Rattus norvegicus: one gene and its partner. The protein of the gene in region 1 interacts with the protein of each later gene in a pairwise test. Links are inferred from orthologs where the notes say so. Each region holds a gene or a part of one and is shown on either strand. Other genes may lie near its edges.

Evidence for each region.
Region 2: the proteins of Sec23b (region 1) and Hoxa3 interact in binary tests that used the Homo sapiens proteins (3 or more experiments, as listed by UniProt). The two-hybrid records come from large-scale screens. The link is inferred for Rattus norvegicus from reciprocal best matches to the Homo sapiens genes SEC23B and HOXA3.

What each region holds. Positions count from the first base shown.
Region 1 is NC_086021.1:152,401,737-152,411,911, reverse strand, and holds part of Sec23b (protein transport protein Sec23B), read right to left. Parts: intron 9,535-10,175; coding exon 9,298-9,534; intron 9,197-9,297; coding exon 9,111-9,196; intron 8,365-9,110; coding exon 8,220-8,364; intron 7,575-8,219; coding exon 7,416-7,574; intron 7,080-7,415; coding exon 6,964-7,079; intron 4,804-6,963; coding exon 4,680-4,803; intron 2,745-4,679; coding exon 2,664-2,744; intron 1-2,663. UniProt on the Homo sapiens protein: Component of the coat protein complex II (COPII) which promotes the formation of transport vesicles from the endoplasmic reticulum (ER).
Region 2 is NC_086022.1:82,600,078-82,609,988, forward strand, and holds part of Hoxa3 (homeobox protein Hox-A3), read right to left. Parts: exon of another isoform or gene 9,366-9,911; intron 6,649-9,365; coding exon of another isoform or gene 6,402-6,648; exon of another isoform or gene 6,337-6,401; intron 5,991-6,336; exon of another isoform or gene 5,853-5,990; intron 3,487-5,852; 5' UTR 3,367-3,486; coding exon 2,838-3,366; intron 1,470-2,837; coding exon 664-1,469; 3' UTR 1-663. Other genes in the region: Hoxa3l1 (vasodilator-stimulated phosphoprotein-like), read left to right, coding at 6,402-6,648. UniProt on the Homo sapiens protein: Sequence-specific transcription factor which is part of a developmental regulatory system that provides cells with specific positional identities on the anterior-posterior axis.

The DNA of each region.
Region 1 (10,175 bases):
CTAGAAATCATAGGGACAGACAGAAGCTTTGAGCAGATTCCGGTTTTATCTTTAACCCTAACTTCCATTCACTCAAGCACAGGGAGGAGAGAAACAGCTTAAATACCACTGTGCAGAAGCAGATGCCCCAGACCGCAGACTCCTCTAGAGAAGATATTCAGCACTGCCTTCAACATCACTGTCTGGAAACATAAAAGCACAGAAACAGAAAGAAGAGAGCAAAAGGTGAGGGCTAGGCTCGGGCTTGAAAAATTAAGGCTACGGAACTGAAAGCAACGCTGGTGGGATTAGGAGAGCCACAGAGAGCAGTTGGGAGCAAAGTGGGGAGAGAGCGCAGGCTAGGTGCTGTACCAGATGCTACTTTGAGATCATTGTTCATTTTCACAGACTTGACAATGAGGAAATGATATAACAGCCTTATTTTTAGAATATACACACTGTATATCACTTAAGAACCAAGTGTCATGACATCTGAAAATTATTTCCAAAGGTTTCTGAAAATAATGGTGGTAAAGCAAACATAGCAGGAGGTCATAACTACACACAGTGGGCAAATGCAGCACCAACTGCTATGGAATGCCACCAACACCTCCCGGTGGTGCTAGAAGGTGGGTACACAGGAACACATGTACGGTTCCTAAGACTGCAGCATGATTGCAGCTGCGCTTTCCTTAACCCTGAAAGCATCCTCACCCTCCAACCAAAACTTTCAATGCTGAATTCAAATGGAAACTAATCAGTGTGGTGCACGTTTTAAAGTATCTTTTTAAAACCACTGCAGGAACCTTCGTCAGGGAGACTTTCCAGCTCACAGAAAGTATCCTGGGGGGGGCAGGCTTCCAAAGCCCTTCCACGAAAACAGGAATGGTGGTGCAAGTCACTTGGCACACTGAGACAAACAACCTTCATTGGGCTTTGGGGCAGAAAGTCCTTCATCCAAGGACTACAGAGGCGTGTATACAAATAGTGAACCCCTGCCAAGCTCGACAAAACTTTCATTTATATAGTCACTGCCAGTGTCGGCTCTGACATACAAGAGATATACAACTTGTATGGGGCTCCAGTGTGTCTTGTCCTAAGTGTGCCAACCGACCAACCTCATTCACTCCTAACATTCTTAAGTAGATATTGCTATTTTCCCATTTTCTAGAAACACTCAATTATAAAGCGTTAAGAATTGTACCCAGGCCACTCAGCTAGTGAGTGTATGCACCCTAAGTCCACAACAGTTCTATCGTCCACCTCCCACTGTGGATGACAAGAAGGGAAGGACAAGACTGTGTAACAACATCCCAGGACACCTCAGAGACTGCAGTGATACAATTTTATAGGGGGGAAAAAAGTTCTTGCATTCTAAAGGATTGAAATTTTGTTGGACCTCACAGTCAAATACACCTCTTGATCACAGGCTATCCTACTGTGCAATCAGTCTGTTGGTGTGCAACCTTAAAATAACGATGTAACACTAACCTTACTTGCCTTGGACAGCCCATGAATCAGCTTTTACAACCTGAACTAACGCACTGAGTTAATCTTACATTATATACTCTCCCATGCTCCTGAGCCAGAGGAAGACACGTGTACATATGTATACATGCAGCCTTACATTATATACTCTCCCATGCTCCTGAGCCAGAGTAAGACATGTGTACATATGTATACATGTAGCTAACAACAGCCAACATGTTGGAAACGACCTTATAAAACACTCACCACACATCTTAGAAACAACATATAGGCATAGCTTGTTTGCAGCACTGAGTGCAAATTGGGGTTACTTGGGGTCAGTAAAATGACCTCTCCCCTTGTAAACCTGTTAGTGACTTTTGTAAAGAAACCCTCTTCCTTCTCCATGGGATCCTTCCTGGGTTGTTCAGTAAATACAGACCACAGACAGACAAAGGGAAAGTGAGACACCAGACAGCATTCAGACAGGCAAGGGCACAGACACCCATGGAGATCACGGATAGACCAGTAACTATGGACAGACAGAAGAACAGAGAGAAGTGAAGAGCTCAAACTTGGGCTTACTCTGGATCAAATTAATCAAAGAGGAATCTGTGACTTCATCCCTTGATGCAACACTCACTGATACATTTTCATATTCTGAGGTTACACTTAGTACACGTAACCAATGCAGAAGAGGCCTCATAAATCAGGTGCTGTGGCTTTTAGCAGCTAAAGCATGCTCACAGCCTGGGGACCATCAGCAAAGCCACTTACACAAGGGGATGCCTGCACTTTGCTCTCATAACTAACAATACATATGCATCTGCATCATCCATCCACTGTCCGACCAACTAAGAGGTCTCACTCGTTATCACAGGTTATTCTGGAAGAATTCTGAATTTGCTGTAGAATTGCTTTTGTTCTCAGTGAGACAGCATCCACATATCAGACGTGGGAGGAACCTGAGATCTGGGTCCTCTTCATCAGCAGCTGTGTAAGGGTTAACTTAACCTCCCTGACTCCATGTTTTCTTCTCTGGTCAAAGACATATCAGTGAGCAGAAGGACAGATGACAATACCTCTTAGAGTTGTCATCAGTGAGGGTTAGAGCTCCTCTCAGACAAGTCACCTCCCGTGATACAATACAAGATCATCATGGTCTGACTTAGCTAATGAGTTTACTACAGGGCAAGTGAGAAGGTGATTTTCCTTACATTTTCTGACACACATGGTCCTTTCACATTCAGAGACACACATGGACCAATGGCACCTGCAATCTTCAGTTCCCGAGAGGTCTAAAACAAATCACACATTAAGTTAACAGTCAGCCTGCTGCTACTACGATCATAATACAAACTTAGAGGAAAATTCCCAGAGAAAATTGCTAATAGAGTACACTATCTAAATGCCCACTCAGGCTTTTCCAAGAACACTAGGAGCTGGTTAAAGCGTCAACAAAGTCCACCATAGAAAGTCCATCAAAAGACCAGGTGTAATGGTTCAATAGTAATACTCAGCAGGCTGAGGCAAAGATGAAGAGTTCAAGGCCAGCCTCGATGTATAGTGAGTGTATTTGAGGCCAGTCTGAGTTCATTAGACCATCTCAAAATCAAGACAAAGTTCTTTTGTTTGATTTGAAGCAGAATCCCCAAGTAGCTGAGACTAGCCTGGAAATCCATGGATAGCTCAAGTGAACTTACACTCACAATCCTCCTGCCTCTGCCTAAATGCCAGGATACAGGATGGCACCCCCACACCTGGCCAGGTGGCATTTTCAACTCTATTCATTTCCAACCTTTGATACTGTTATATATGAAAGGTAACAACTCTACCAACTGCATTACATTCTTTTCCAAATACCATGCATATTCATACTTATTTACATATTTCTATCCAGTAAACATTGTCTTGTATTCCTTTAAAAATACTGAATTCACAAACCCTAACAAAATGGTAAGACCAACGGAGATCTTTTTCGTTTCTTTTCTTTCCTTTTCTTTTCTTTGAGGCATGTCACCTCTATGTAGTCCTGATTGTTCTGGAACTCACTACATAGACCAGGCTGGCTCTGAACTCACAGATTTTTCTGACTCTTAATTTTTTTTTCTTAAATTATTATTTAAAATCTGACTTCATTTCAATAAAAATGAATTCAGTCCACACCTCTTTTTGGGGGAGGCAGGGGTGATTTTAGACAGGGTTTCTCTGTGTAGCCCTAGCTGTTCTAGAACTAGCTCTGTAGACTAGGCTGACCTTGAACTCAGAGACCCACCTGCTTCTGCCTCCACAGTGCTGGGATTAAAGCATGCGCTCAACCCATTCCTCTTAGCTTTTACATAGATGCTGGGATCCTAACTCAAGGCACTCATGCTTACACAGCAGGCACTACATCCACAGAGCCAGCTCCCTATCCCCTTTTTTAACAACTTCCAACTCTGCTAAATAAGCAATGAAGCAAACCCCTTAAACATGTAAAGACACTGTTTAAAGCCTACCCTAGATAATTTAATGCTTTTCTCTAATTCTCTAACCAAGTTTCTAACAGCCCCTTTTAATGGTTTCTCAATTGCTTAAGATTCAGTTGTCTAGGACTCTGATTTCCTACAAAGTATTTGAACACCACGTTCTTCTTAAATATAAACCCCACTCTGCAGTGCAGTGGCTCACACCGATGGCTGGGTGGATACTGACCATGTGTGACTTGCCTGTCTTTAAGCCCCAGTATGGCAACCAACACCCACCACACACCCAACTAACTCTACCTATCCTTAACCAGGGTGCAACAGAGCAGGGTCTGAGGAGAAAGAGAAACTTTCTGTTTAGAACCTTAATAAACACATGGGTAATCCCTGAGAAGAAAGGAATACAGTGGACCAAATACTTCGTGATATCCATCTTACTGGATCCTTTTAAGTGGTCATTAAAGCTTATATCTATCAGCTGAGGCTGCAGGGTCTAAGCTGAGCCACACTAATCCCAATCAAGTTTCAAAAGTTGTCATATGGCTACGTACAATACAGCACACTGGAGGGAGAAGCAGCAGATCTCTAGGAGTCCGAGGCAAGCCTGTTCTAGACTAGTGAGTTCCAAGCCAATTGAGGATACACACAGTAAGACCCTGCCTCAGGTAAATAATAAATAATTAAGTATTTATCATGCATGTATGAAAATGCTATAAGCTAATTATATAAGCTAATTTAAAATCAAACTTTTCTAGACGCCTACTGCACCTTGACTTCCAGGGTAGCACCAAACGCCATTCTGAAATCTCCGTTGAAGTCTTTACTAAAAATCCTTTGGAAGGTCTGCTTGAAGAGAGAGGTGTTGAATGAGTCTCCCATCACCATGAGGCCTCTGGATAAGAAAGGGGGAGAGTACACATTTCAAAGGACTGGAAGCCATTTTGGTCGTTCCCGTAAGATTCGCAAACAATTTACACACACACATACACACACACACACACACACATACACACACACACAGAATTTCCTCCCTCCCTGCCAGGTGTCTCCAGGTGACCACGTGCCCCCTGTAAATTGAATGTTTAAAGGAAAAAGCACACCATCTCAGCGAGGAAACCCAGCACTAAGGGATCACCAGTGCCTTTTCCAGGAAAACCATCTACTACCCCTCTAGCTCAGCCTGGGGTCACTGTGACTTTGCCTGAAGTAATCCTCCTAGACCAGGCCATGGACTGCTATTGTTTCCATGGTTGTTTTAGTGCTCCCTCCCATCCCACACCCATTACATGTGTCCATCATCTCCTTGTATATGTGTATTTGTAAGTTTCTGTGTGGGTGTACATATTCATGGAGGGTTCAGAGGTCAGAGGACAACCTGCAGGAGTTGGTGTCTCCTTCCACATTTGAGCATCAGGGACTGAAAGCCTCAGACTTGGTGGCAGGCAGGCACCTCCCTGCTGAGCCATCTTGCTAGCGCTTGTGTTATTGGCTTTTGTCTTCTTTGGAAAAGGGGCTTTTCTTTGTAACATCAACTTCTTGCTATACAGCCCAGGCCAGCCTTGATCTCAAGATCCTCCAGAATGCTAGTGTTACAGGTCTGCCCACCAGGACCAGTGGGAACTCACGCTATTCCAATCCGTTCAACAATACATGTATCTCATCTCTAGTATCTGACCATTCCAAACCACGCTCAAATGACTTAGGCTCTACCTCCTATGCCCGCCCCTAAGAGAGCAGAGAAGAATCACTATGGAGGTTGATTAGAAAGGCATAAATCGGGGCTGGAGAGATGGCTCAGCGGTTAAGAGCACCGACTGCTCTTCCAGAGGTCCTGAGTTCAATTCCCAGCAACCACATGGTGGCTCACAACCATCTGTAATGAGATCTGATACCCTCTTCTGGTGTGTCTGAAGACAGCTACAGTGTACTTATATATAATAAATAAATAAATCTTTAAAAAAAAAAAAAAGAAAGGCATAAATCTGGACCAGAAGATGGTTCAACAAGTAAAGGTGCTTGCCACCAAGCAAGAGATGTTCAATCTGAGTTCCACACAGTGGAAGAAGATAACTAACTTCACACAGTGTCCTGTGACCGCCACATGTGCACACTGGTGCATGCGTGCGTGCCTGCGTGCGTGCGTATTCCGTCGATGTAGGTTCTGATTGGGCAAGTGGGAAATGAGCTCTGAGAGGTTGCACTTCTACTGAGCTCCCAGCAAAACCAAGGCTGTGTATGCTCAAACTCTGATCTATGTTAGAACCACAGGACAGAAACTTTGAAGAATGCTGATACGCAAGCCACGCCCATGTTCATTATTTTAGGCTGCTGGGGACTGGGAGTGGAGAACATGACAGCAAAGCAGCTTGTTTTGTTGCCCTTTCACTCTTAACGCTCCCTAGGTGACACTAATGTGCAGCTGAGCTTCGGATTCAGTGTCCACCTCAGTGCTTCTCGCACTTTCATGAACACCCCAATCTCCACCACTGCTCCCCAAGAGCTTTTGATGCAGAGGTCTGAGGAAAACCAAAGAACACTCCTAATCAGTTCCCATGAGCGCCTAAGGTTCCTAGTCCAGCCATCACTGCAGGCTGAGAATTTATTCTACGTTTTCACTTGAGGACAATATGACTTGTTGGCAAGTGTACCCCATACGGTGACAGTGTGACTAGCATTAATCACAGAGTCATTGGCCAGGTCAAGCTTCTTCTAACTACTTGACACTCAGATGGCATTTACTCATTATCACAAAGAAGTGCCCTGCTGAAGGCCAGGTACTGCATACCAGCTTGATGGCCTAGTCTGCAGACAAGTCTAACAACTCCAAAGAAGAGACAAATTAACAAAGTTACTCGGATGCAACTTGTTCCCAGTGAAATCCTGAGACCTCTTCTAAGCACTGCTTCTTCCTCCACAGGGCCCACAGTCCCTTTCCAGTCACCCATTCCAAACCTCAGAGTCACCAGAAAACTCCAAAGCTGGCCTCACTCACCCCGTAACTCCATCATTCATTCCTTCCCTAGTTCCCAGATGTTCAATGTGAACCTCTTACCCTGTAAGATTTGGACAGCACTTCATCTCCAGAAGTCCAGTTTGATCAAGGGCACAAGCATAAATATCAATGCAGTGACCATTTGTAGCAGTTCGATTAGCAAGCATCTCATAATGCTATAAAGAAAGAAAACTCTTAGGAAACAGAAGCATAGTTCCCAAGGCACATCTTACCACACCTAAGGGTGTTATCAACAACGGGAGCACAGAGTTCACCGCCTATAAAACAGCATGTAAAATCAAAAGGCAGCCTTAGAGTCAAAACTCTTTAAACACTCTAGAGCCGCTCACTCTAACCAGTCAGGTGGGGTCAGTGAGTTCAAAAGAGGCAAGATCTGGAAGACTGTCACTACACAAGCACCCGCTGACCTCAGCAAGCGGCCATCACTGATCTGGAGCAGTCCACACCTGGCTGTGCGACTGTAATTACAGCTGGCATCTGAGGGTACCTACCTTGGTTGCCTTTTTCATGAACCGTGCATTATCTTTCTCAATATCGTGCCAGGAACGAATAGGAGTCTTCAATTCATCTCCAACCACCATGCCAGGTCCTTGGGTCGGGGGCCCACCAGTGAACAGCATGATCCTGGCTCCAGTATTTGGGAATGTACCCTAAAAATAGAGTTAGCGTAAAGACTGTGGCAGAAACATACAGTTCCACCTCTGAGCACGGTTTGTTTCTATATTCAAATCCTCCAGAGACAACCAACTGTCTTCACACTCCTGCTGCCTCACAGGTTCTTGGCACTAGTTCTGCTGCAGAGTAACATCCATGGGGGTGTGGGGGAGAAGAGTATATCTTACTGTCTCCAAACCAGTAAACTTCCATTACTTTAGTAAAAGCACTCCACTACCCTAATTCCCTTAGCTTTTCATGAAAACTTTGTGGTATTTGCAAAATACTGAGTTCCTCCTCGATGTGGATAATAATGATGGAAACATTTTCTTTTTTTAAAAAAACAGATTTATATATTTATTATATATGAGTACACTGTCATTGTCTTCAGACACACCAGAAGAGGGCATCAGATTCCATTACAGATGGTTGTGAGCCACCATGTGGTTGCTGGGATTTGAACTCAGGACCTCTGGAAGAGCAGTCAGTGCTCTTAACTGCTGAGCCATCTCCCCAGCCCAAAACATTTTCTAATACATAGACAAAGGGCTGACTTGAGGCACAAGAAATTTTCCAACAAAGCCAACAAGAACAAGAACAGCTTGTATGATTTGATAGGTCTCTATAAAAATCTGAATTACCTCCAACAAGCCAACAGCAATGGACAAAGCAACACCAGTGGATCTCAGTGGTCTCTTCCCCTGAGTTACGGGCCATGGGTCCCTCTGCAGCTCCCCAAGAAGATCTGTGAGGTTCATGTCAATCTTGTGAACGGGCTGTAGAAATCTGTATGATTTCAAAAGCAAACATCAGTTGAGATTTAATAAAGTACCTTGACCTTCAACCCTAGGGCACACAACTAACCACTCTTCAAAACAATTATCCAATAGGAAAAACTCAAAACTTTTTCCTTCAAAATGATCTCTATAAATACAGAAGCAATTCCAAGGAATTTTAGTGTGAAATATGCCATAAAATCTAATAATCACACTTATGCATGTATCATAAAAAAACCAAGTTGAAAAGGGAAAAGTAAGTTTAATTAAATTTTAAGCAGCAGGGAAACCCTAATGATAAGCCTAGTGTGGCTCCCGTTTGTTTGAGGCCCATCTATGTGGAGAGTCCTCTCCAGGCTGAAGCTTCTGTTTCCATTCCTCTTGGGCCTCAGCAGCTGAATAGAGAGAAACTCTGGTTTCTGAACAGAGAGGAGGCTGTCTCCAGCAACCAGAAGCTTTCGATACACTGACAAAGTGAGTGCCATCTCACAGGCTTATTTAAAAATACCCACAGAAATGATTTATGTTCTGTCTGCTTTACTTAAAGATGAAGGATAGCAGCCATGTGCCAATGAGGAGACCGGATGAACAGTGTCGGAACGTTTCTATGAGGAACTGAGTATCTACTGGTTTGGTCTTTATTTTTTTTTTCTTCTTAGAACTATGGACCCAGAAGTCCTAGGGCTGCTCTCCCTCATCACCTGGGCTGTTAGGCAGGCCCACCACAGAGCGTGACACTGCACCCTGCTGTCTCACCTGCTGGAAACAGCAGACTGCTCCTGAGGTTGACCAGGTCTGACTTGCTGCACAGGCATAGCTGACTTGGTCAGGCCCAGCATCTCCTAAAAGTGAAAAACAGAAAGAGCCAATCCCCATTAACACTACAAGTAAATAATACCATTGCAGACCCACCCTTGCTCCTGCTTCTTTTTGAGGTACTAACCTGTATTTGCTTTGCAGTTAAATCCTTGGTCCCTCGGAAGACATAGCTCTTGGAGATTCCTTCACAGCTTAGCTCATGAACCTGCACCATCCTCCCAAAAGTGATAAGACCAACCAGGGCATCTGGAGGAAGGAGACTCAGAGACATCTGCAGCGACTCTTTGAGTGCTTGAAGGTCATCTTCTTCCAAACACGTGTCAACCACATAGAGAAAGATCAGAGGGGACCGAGCACCTCTCTTCGGGAAAAGAAAAATGGCGTGATGATCAGTATGCACATAGGCATAACCAGGGAGCACAGAAAGAACACGAAAAGTAAATAATAAACCTCTTCACAAGGGACAAATCTGCATTCCACACGACCAATCAGGTACAATATAGCAAGTCTCCACACCTGTAAATATCCAGGGGAGGAGAGCTATATAGTAAGAACCTACAGCAGCTTTACCTCATCAACTGATTACCTCATCATCAAATGATGAGAGCCCAAAGTTTATCAAGACAAACATAAAACTAAAAATGTGTTCACTATTCAATACTCCTATGTGCCAGACATTACTGCAGACCCTGGGTTACATCACTGAACAGCAAAAGGGAGGAAGCAGCAATAGTGAAGGAGGAGGGAGATGCCAGGTCCTTGTGTTAAACAGAGATCATGGCTGGGGATGCTAGCCCATGACGTAACCCCAGCTCTCACGAGAAAGAGGCAGATGGATCTGTGTGAGCTTGAGCCAGTCTGGTTATATACTGAATGCTAGGACAGCCAGACCTACATAGTGATACCATGTCTCAAAAAGTAAATAAATAAAAAAATAAAGAGAAATGAGAAATGAGGGCAGCTTCATTAAGAAGGTAAAAGTTGAGGTAACTAGATGGCTCA
Region 2 (9,911 bases), on another chromosome or scaffold:
ATATGTATGCCAATACACCATTGAACAAAAGGCTCAAGAAACCTTCTGAACAATCAGGGTACAGAATTTCTTTAATATAAATACGAACGGATGGGGATAAATAATATTTAAAACTTAGACTATTCAATGCTTGCAAAAAAATATAAATAAATCTGACTGTTCACCAGCACACACACACGGAAAGACGTACACTTAGTCAACTTTGCACAGGGAGTCCCTGTTTCAAAGCGCCTTTGATTTCTTTTTCTCGATCATTACAAGAAGTGCAATTTTAAAAACTAAAACTTAAAAAAAAAAACGCAGTTGCTTCCTCTCGGGAGCCATAAAGTATGAACAAATTCACATTGAAAACTCGACTAGAAAGTTTGTTCATATACCCTGTTTCTTATCGAAGAGTAGAGAGGGTAGAGGGTGCAGGGCCAGAGGCCAGGGCGAGGAGGGGTGGTAGTAAATGTTGCTACTGATACTGACAGCCTTTCCAGCAACCAAGATTGCTACGTCACATAAACTATAAAAACGCATTACCGAAGGGGGAAAATGAGGGAGAGGTGCAGAGGAGAAAGGGGAAAGGCGAGAAGAACATAAAACAAAACAAAACAGAGGAAAAAGAAACCAAAGAAGGTTGGGTGGGCAACTCTCCTGGCTTGCAGCCCCAGCCCATCATCACAGGTGGGTGAGCTTGGGCGCTTCCTGAATTCTTCCCTGAGAAGGATGGTGGGCAGTAAGGTCCGTGTAGGTGGGGTGTGGCTCCCCAGGCCCAGGCCCATGGTGGTGACCGCTGCCCAGCGGCCCAGAGCCCCCGTAGTCCACGGCAGCCGAGGTGGTGTGGGGGAGGTGAGTTAGGCCAAAGAGTGCTGGCCCAGAGTTGCCCATGGGCTCCACATAGCTGCCCCCTACGAAGACGGGGCTTCCCTGTAAGTGTGGGGTCCCATAGCTGCCGTTGCCCTGCAGGCCGTGAGCATGTGGGTCGTACTCAGGGGTGCCCCCTGCGCCTGACCCCGCCGCTGTGTAGCGTTTCTGTGGGGGAGGTGGGGGAGCGCAACTGGGCAGGGGAGCAGGGTAGGAGGCCGGAGGCAACCCGTAGGCGCCTTGGGGGGGCTTGGAGAAAGGAGGGGGTGACTGGGGCTCATATGGGACACTGTTGACCAGCGAATGCATAGAATTCAGATAACCTCCTGCACCGGGAGGCACAGGGCTACGACTTGGGGACTGGCCCCCAGACGAAGTCAGCATGCCTTTGCCCTTCTGGTCCTTCTTGTACTTCATACGGCGGTTCTGGAACCAGATCTTGATCTGGCGCTCGGTGAGGTTCAGCAGGTTGGCCATCTCCACTCGGCGCGGCCGGCATAGGTAGCGGTTGAAGTGGAACTCCTTCTCCAGCTCCACCAGCTGCGCGCTCGTGTACGCCGTGCGCGCGCGCTTGGACGAAGCCTGCCCAGGCGGGCTCTTGTCACCAGCGCAGCTCTCCCCTGCCAGAACACAGAGGAAGAGCGGAGTCAGGGGCTGCTAGCGACCCCGCCCAGCTCCCCAGTCCTAGGCCTGCCCCTCCTTTCTTCACCCCACAGAAGCCTCTGTCCAAGGCCAGAGAGGAGCAGGACTTCAGTGCTGCCTTCCTCCCTTGGTGTGCGGAAATGGCCTGGTTAGCCTGCCCTTCCTTCCTCTAAGGAGCAAATCAGGGGCTTCTTCAAGGAGAGGACAGAGCAGCAGAGCCTCCTGCTTGCCTTGCTGCCCTGCACTTCCTCTCTATTTGACTCGCCCAGCTTATTTACTGGTCCAGCAGAAAACAAGCTTCCTGTGAGCAGGTTCCTTCAGTTGCTGGAATGTGGGAGACCTAGTGTATACATGAAGACCTTTCATCCTGCCTGAGTGGTCAGCCATTAGCTTCAACTAACCAGTTTCCGATATCTACTAAGAGGAGACGAACAGGTTGGTATTGTCCAACTGGGAGACCTCTGACCAAAGAGACCAGACCTCACCAAAGCTATCTAGTTCTGGTAGAGAAGCCCAGGCTTTAAGGAGTCTTCATCATGAGGTTCTCAATGTCACCATGAAGGCTGCCCCAATTTGAACCATCACGTTTGTGCCTCCTGTCCTCCTTGGCTCCCCAAATATCAGTTCTGGAGGAGAGCCAAGGAAACCAGAGAGGAAAGGCCCCCAAGGTAACCAAGAAGATTGGAAGCCCAAGTCCCTGAGGCTAAGGTTCCCCCACTGGAGTCCAGTTCCCAAAGCCCCATGTGGTTCCCATTAGGATGACAAGCTGAATCCCCTCCCCCAGGGGATGCCCGGCTGCCTCCTGCATTGTACTAAGGCTGAGCAAGGCCTTCCTTCCCAGAAGTAAAGCAGCCAGTCCATCTGCTGCAGAGAACATTGGCTCTGATTATAGACAAAGCATTGATTCTGACTTGGGTGATGACTAGGCCTGCTTTTATTCTGCCACGTTTCAGTCTGGGGAGGATGCCACTGTTTGCCTAGAAAAAAGGAGCCGTGGGCTTAGAGAGACAGTGGTCCTGAGGATGGATCTATCTAGAGGTCAGAACTCCCAACACTGGAACAAAGAAGGGTTTCAACGTCACTAGGCTCAAACCTCCTTAGAGACGCCCAGAGGGACTTGAGTCAGATTTATGTCTGAGGGATCCTTGCACGGAAACCTTATCACCTCCCTAAGTAGCAAAGATTCTGGAAAGATCTTTCCCCTTGGTGTGTGTGGGGGTGGGGGGGTAGGGGCAAATTTCTGGAGATGCTCCTCTGCTCCAGGGAATAGCTAGCTGGCATAGCTAGAAGTGGCTTGGAGCCTGGAGCTTGGCCAGAGGCCCCGCCTCCAAAAGGCATCCATTTACCTGAGCTGGAGCCGCTGGTTTTCTGCTTAGTGTTCTGCCTTGACTCTTTCATCCAGGGAAAGATTTGTTTGCCCACGGTGGGAGAGTTGAGCAGGGGGCTCTTGGCTGTGCTGGCAGGGGTAGGGTTGCTGTTGGCACTTTGAGGGGGAGAGACAGATGAGGGAGGCGGAGGAGCTGCAGGGGTGGGTGCAGGGGGCTGTGGTGGGGGCTGTGGAGGCTGGGGGGCTGGGGGCGCTGCCTGGGGAGGAGGTGGAGGCAAAGGTGGATCACCCAGGCCTGGGGGCTGGCTAGGAGGCCCGCTCAGGGTGCGCAGACAAGCTTCGCTCAGCTCATGACTTTTGGGGTGGGCCCCAGCGCTGGCGGGAGACTGGAGGGAGCAGGCGGGTCGATGGTACTCAACACCATCCGTGCCCAGAGTGGCGGACGGCGCGTATGGCTGCTGACTGGCATTGTAAGCGAACCCATTGGCTGCTTGGTAGGGGTAGCCACCGTAGATCGCCGAGCTGTCGTAGTAGGTCGCTTTTTGCATCGCGATGTTTCACGATCGTGATCACACTCTCTGACAAGGGCTTGACACCCGTAAGGGAGCACATTGGCACGCCCCCGCAGTCACGTGACACTCCGCCGCCAATGGCCGCCGCGCGCAGACCTGAGGGAGGGGGGAGAAGTGCAGCGCGGTGAGGGCTCCGCGCAAATCCATCTTACTCTCAATAGCTAAGTGACATGAAAGCCATAAAAGAAAAAGTGGTCAGCAATATTTAGCAGCACGACGTGGCCCCGGGCGCAGGGAGCCGCACTATAAAAAGCTGCTGGAATTTACTGGCAGCTACAAATATTTGCTTAACTTGCGTCTGGAGTTGGGGGATTTTCTGCGGAGCAGTAGAACCAGTAAGGGCTGGGAGCTAGGTCTCCGGAGCCGAGGTCTAAAATGAGACGGGGTCTGGAAGCTACTTTGGGGTCTTTCTTTTGCAGAAGAAACCGTGGTGTCCCTTTGTAGAAGCCGGAGCTTTCTCGATCGAGATCTTGGGGGAACTCTCAAGAGGGCAAAGGGTCATTTTTCCTCCAATTCTCATTTTAGAATTCATATTTGTTCAAAAGACCTAAGATAGTCAGATTTCCTTCCTAACCAGGCTTTTCCTGGAGTTCTCAAAGGAGGTTTGCACACACACACACACACACACACACACACACACACACACACACACACAAGTAGGCAATTGCCTTATTGGATCATGATGGACTTTGGAAGCTGAGTTTGTTAGGTTTGTTCTAGTTCAGGGAAGAGGACCAACCTGCTCCAAATCAACCCTATAAGGTCAAGAAGAGGGTGGGTGGGAGAGAAAACTTTAGAAGGACACCACCACCAACCTGTGTGTGTGTGTGTGTGTGTGTGTGTGTGTGTGTGTGTGCGCGTGTGTGTGCATGTGTGTGTGTGTGTGTGTATGCGCGCGTGCGCGCGCGCGTGTGCGTGGTGTTGGTCTTGGTCTTTCCCAACTCCACCCACAAGTCACACACAACTCAAATCCTGGAATTTTCTCTACCTTTTCTCCCACCCTGTTTTTCAGACAAACTGAAACAAGTCACTTCAACCTCTTTTTCAAAGTTTCAGGAGGTTCCCGACGACTCTCCTGCCTCAGATTTTCTGAGGTGCTGTTATTCTGGGCAACTATCAAATTCTACCTGTTAAAACATGATGGATTAGAGAAAAAAAAAACAACCCACCAGGAACCTGAAAAACCAGCGTTCATCTCCATGACCACGGCTTGAACTCTCCTTCCAACTTAACGATAATAGGTTCTGTCTTAGAAACTGCTATGTAATTTGATGTATGGGGGTCATTTGGCTCCAGAGGAGGAAGCACAAACCATAAACTCCTGCCAGACGTCCCTGATCTTTGTACATACTGTTGTTGATCAGATTTGTTATTTGGTTCATTTTCCTGCTTCAGAAGTACCAAGTAAAGAAAAACATTTAAAAAAAAAGCCCAAATCTCTTATTTAGAAAGTACTTTATAGAAATGAAATCTGTGTTCTCCTGATAAACTTATAATTCTCAGCAAGAAAAGTTCCTTGGAAGTCTTACATGTTCACCCCTAGCCACACCATCAGAATGCTAGTCCCTCTGACAGCTAAAAAAGCTGTAACAGTAAATCCATGTAGATAATGTTTAACATTTAAAGCCCTGTCTATGGCTACTCGATCCCAGAGTTATTCAACTTTTCTAGAAGTACCAACTGTCAACCAGGGAAATATATACATAGCAAGCATCCACCAGTGGACGATTATAGTTTTGTTCGTAATAATGAACTCCCTTAGATTTCATCATCAAACCAACAATCTAATCAGCATCTGGAAAACAGGCACAATTAACTTTCCAGAACCTCAATAAAAATTACAGCAGCACTTATCCAGAATTACTGTGCTTGTCATGAAGCCTGAATGCTGTTTCCCTTTTGAAAACATCTAGGAAGTTACAGATAACACTATGGAAAGTAAATAAAGGGTAAAATAAAATTTAAGAGTGAATTATAATCTAATATCTACTTTTCTCGTTCTTACATTGAAAACAATTCCCATTACATTTGGTAGCATTAATGTCTGTCATAAATTTTTGAGGCACCAAGCCTAATTAAGATAAACGTCAGATTAAGAAAATGACTCTAGACATACGAACAGCAAAATATTAGATAAAACAAAATTAGTTGATTTTGAACGTGCAGGGTTTCTAGTGACTTTCTAAGCCATTAGCACAGGCTATACCAGCCTACGGCTTGCTTAAACCTTTTTCCATTGTACTGTGCATTGTCTTGAAAGAATCACAAAAATAACTTTAAAATCAAAGTGCATAGGGCAGCGTCCACAAACTTAAAACCTGAATTCAACTCAGAGATCCCATTGTTTGAGGTTCGCAGTCACCTTGGAGTCCACACAACCCGCCCCCTCCAGCCCCCAAAGTTTCAATTTAGTAAAGAAGTTGGAGATTTGCCAGCCAGGAAACTTTGCTTTGTCCCCCACAAGCAAAGGTTGAGGGTGGAGGGAGATTCCTCCCCAAAGCTCTGTTCCTAGACAATAACCTCCAGGTGCAAGAGCTGAAGCGAGTTGAGGAGGCAAGAACTGAATTCAGGAAGCCAGAAGCCCTGTGTCTCTACACAAGGTATGCCCAAATTCGACTTCTCCAGACTCCGCTCCCTCTTCTTCCCTTAGCTTCCCTCACCCGAGTTTGAAAGGGGACGTCGAGGTAGAAGCCCCGATTTCTAGCCCACTCCCCTCTCTATCTCACCAGCCCAGAAAAGTTGAGGCTGGGCTAGGGAAGAGGGGAGAGTGGGGGCGGGGATGGGAGCGCGGCCTGAACTGAAGTGTGAGGGTATCAGTCACTGCCGGCGAGGAAGCTCCGGCTTGTGAACTCTTCTTGAACCGAGATTTAAGTCTGCAGCCATAAATCACCGAGACGTACACTCCACCATTCAGCGCTGAGAGCGGCCGGTGGTGGCCCCGCTTACCTTAACTTCTGACGGCCGCCGCGGGCTCGGGCTCAGGCTGCGGCCCCGGGTCCCCTCGGCGCGGGATGGCCACCGACCCTCAGCATCCGCCGAGCCGGCGTGCGGGCGGGCGTGCGGGCCGGAGACCCCAAGGCCGGGACTCGGCGGAGAGGCGGACCGCTAGCTGCTCCGGCGGCTGGCCCCCGGCGGACTGGGGCGGCTGGACCCCCTCCCCTCCCCTCCCCCCACGCCCGCCCCCGCCCTGCCCGCGGCCGCGGCCCCAGATAAGCGCTGGCGCGGCCGGGCTCCGCGGGGCTAGTGGCACCGACTTGGGTATGTTTCTTATGAATACTGCGCCGAGCAGGGGTCGGTCGGGGGGTGCGGTAAGGGGTGCCGGGGCGGGCGGGAGGGGAGAGCAGAGCGGCTAGGGAAGCGCCGGCATGGGGGATGGGGCTGAGGCGAGGGGAGGAACAGGAGCAGAGCGAGCTCGGCGGCAGAGGGAGGAGGGCGGCCTCCCCCACCCCACGCCCTCCCTCTCCTTCCTAGGCGTCACTAAAGTCCAGGAAAATTATGCTAATGAGGACAAACGGCTCTCACAAAGGGGCTCTCTTGCGGGGTTCTATTTTTTAAGAATCTGTCTGAGAAACCACGCAATTCCCTGCCATGGACGTTTTCATGGGGTGGGGGATGGGGAAAGAAGAGAAGAAGAAATGAGTTGCTCTGACTTTGACAGTTTTCTTCACCTGCCGCTCGCTCCCAATACAGACACCCTAAAGCCAGTCCCTGTGGTATAGGGCCTATTTCCACACACCTCCCATAAGCAACTCAACTGCCTTCGATTAAATTTCTAGGCCTAACGGAGGGAAGTGTCCCCGAGAGATGGACAACTGTCCCCACAGTGAAATGATCCTCTCTGGGCTCAGGCACACACAAAGATATTCAGAAACTTGAGTCTCCACCTCTTGTGTACCCATTGCATAGTACAGACACGGAAGCAGGTAGCCCGTAAGGAAGAGAGATAAGGCTCTGACACCAACACAAATGGACGTCCAGGGTATTTCACCCTCTAATTAGTTGAGTGGCCTTCCTTTTGCTGGGTTGAGCGAAAGCCTAAATTTGCTTGTTAATATGCCACAACGTTAAAGGGGATGGGATCATTCCCAATACCCCCTCAGCTTCCCAGCTTCAGAAGCAAAAAAAAAAAAAAAAAAAAAAAAAAAGGAGAGAAATGGAGCTTTCGTGCAATTCCGAGGCGTCAACGAGGGTCCTTCTCAAAGGAAGGTGTTAAAAATATAAGTAGTATGTTTAAACTGTCAGGGAGCCAAAGTGTCACCTTAGAGCAAAAACAAAGCCAGGGGGGAAAGGGAGAAATCAAAAAGGACTCCGGGCCAGGGTAGCCTCATGCATACCAATGGTTTTTGTCATTTATGGCTGGGCAAGATTTATGACTCGGCTCCCCAAAGCTGTAAACAGAGCACAAAACAGCAAACACTTGCTCCTTATGGCATATTGCAGCGGCGCAACTTGAAAGGGAAGAGCCCGGGACGTGTAGGAGGTGAGAGCCGGCCGCAAAAATCCGCTCGGCGGCATTTTCCCTTCAAACCCTCAGGGTCGGATGTGGCATTTGAAGAAAGAAGGCGTGGGTCAATAATCAACCCGCACTTTCTCCTCCAAACTGCTGACGCGACTCTCACCGCCTTCTCAGCTAAGCCAGCTGCAGGGAAGGCCGTGAGAACCAGACCTAGGACAGGACTGTCTGGTCCAAAGGGGCTGAGAGCGTTGGAGCAAAGGGCTAAGGCGTATTCAACGCATACCTTTCCGGCTCGACCAAACCAAGCCCAGCAGCCCCAGCGCCAGGACCAGGCCGGACCGGAGGAGTTGCAAGAGCCGCGGGAGAGCTCGGGTGAGAGCTTACTCAGACCAGGGCCTCCACGCTCCCTCGACTAGCGCCCAGGTGGCTCTGGGCGGTGGGCCCCAGCCGGCAAAATCAAGCTCTGATTTCAATATGCGGGTCTGGCCCTGGCACATAGATTGCGGGTACCCTGGCCTTAACGCTTCTCATCTGAAATCCAAAGGACTGGCTTTGGAGCAAGCACAGGCGAGATTATTAAAATTAATAATTTATAATAGCAGGATCTTGTTGGTGTGTTACTGTGTTGTGATTGAAGATACACTGTTTGATTTCCACCTCTAGAAATTGCTCCCTGCCGCGGTTCTTTCCAGGCCAGTCCCGCAGTTCATACACAGCTTCTCCAAAACCACCAACCAAGCTTTTCTTTGCTCAGCATCCGTGAGCTCCCTTCCCCGTCTTCCCTAAGTCCTATGATTTCCAGAGGGACTAGAAGAAGCATTTTTCTCAGGCACCGAAGAGTATTTGGAGCAACGAAGGTGTCTGATGGAGCCTTTCTGCCATCCAAGGGGTGCCCTCCCCATCTCTGAGGGGGCTCACCGCTCCTGAGGCTCTCTGTGCAAGCAAGCTGGGGAGGAAGGTGAGGAGTAACTTTTGGCAAGAAGTAGCATTAAAATCCAAAGATGGGCAGGGAAGAAGGTATTGAGAAAATATGCTGGCCTGTAAGTTGAGACCGGTACTTTGAGCGTCGAGGGGGACCAGTCTTTCTAATAGCTAATCATTTGGCCATAACTCGAGTGGTAGTTCTTTCCTGGGAGGGGAGAAAAAAAACCAACTGTGCTCTATGAAAGCAGTTATTGGCTTCTTACTGTGTGTGCTTTTTTTATGCAGAACCAGCTTGGAGGATCTGTTGTTAGATATTTATTCTCTTGTCGGCACTGAAGCCACAATAAAAAGATGCGTCTAACAAATCTTTACTCCATTTCTCCTTCTTTCTAGTGAAACTATATTATTTATGAGTCTTTAACTGGGTCAAAATGCACCAGAACTGGGTCATAAATCATATGAAATGCTGACAAGTAATTGAACAGCAATTAAAGCTTACATTTTATTTCCAAGGGGTGTTTTAGAGCACTTGGAACGGCCTCAGTTAAGCACAGTTATCACCGAGGTCGGCATGAGGGAGGGCCGAATCCGCCCTTCCTGAGAAAGTAAATCTCATTCAAGCTGAAGAAGCCTAGTTTGAATATTTTTAAATAAAGGGATACAATTTCTTTAAATTAAAGAAGGCAAATTTAGTTCCTAACTCCTCACTGAGCTTTCTTCATCTGCTCCAAGGAGGAAAGTAAAGGCCAATTTCTCCTACCTTCCCAAAGACTTTCACTCCTCCCAGGAGCAGAAGGTCCCCAAAGCCCAATTAGCCCCAGCCTGACCAGTCTTTTGGAAGCGAGCAGTTTAACTAATCTCCCTCCATACTGGCAATGGCTCCCTTTCAGGGAATATAATGCCAGAGAAACGTTTGTCTCTGCTCCTTGACTACAGCTACCGAACCCCTCCAGTCTTGGGCACATAGGCTGGTTCTTTAACTCTCCAGGCCAACTTTGGGGTGTACAGAAAGCACCTGACCCACAAACACTGGTGAACTGAGCCCCAGACCCCTTCTGCAAATCACACCAACCGAACCTCCAGGCAGCTGGCATGCCCACCAGCACCCCAGCTTCTCTTAGGTCTGAGCTGTTTTTCCCCA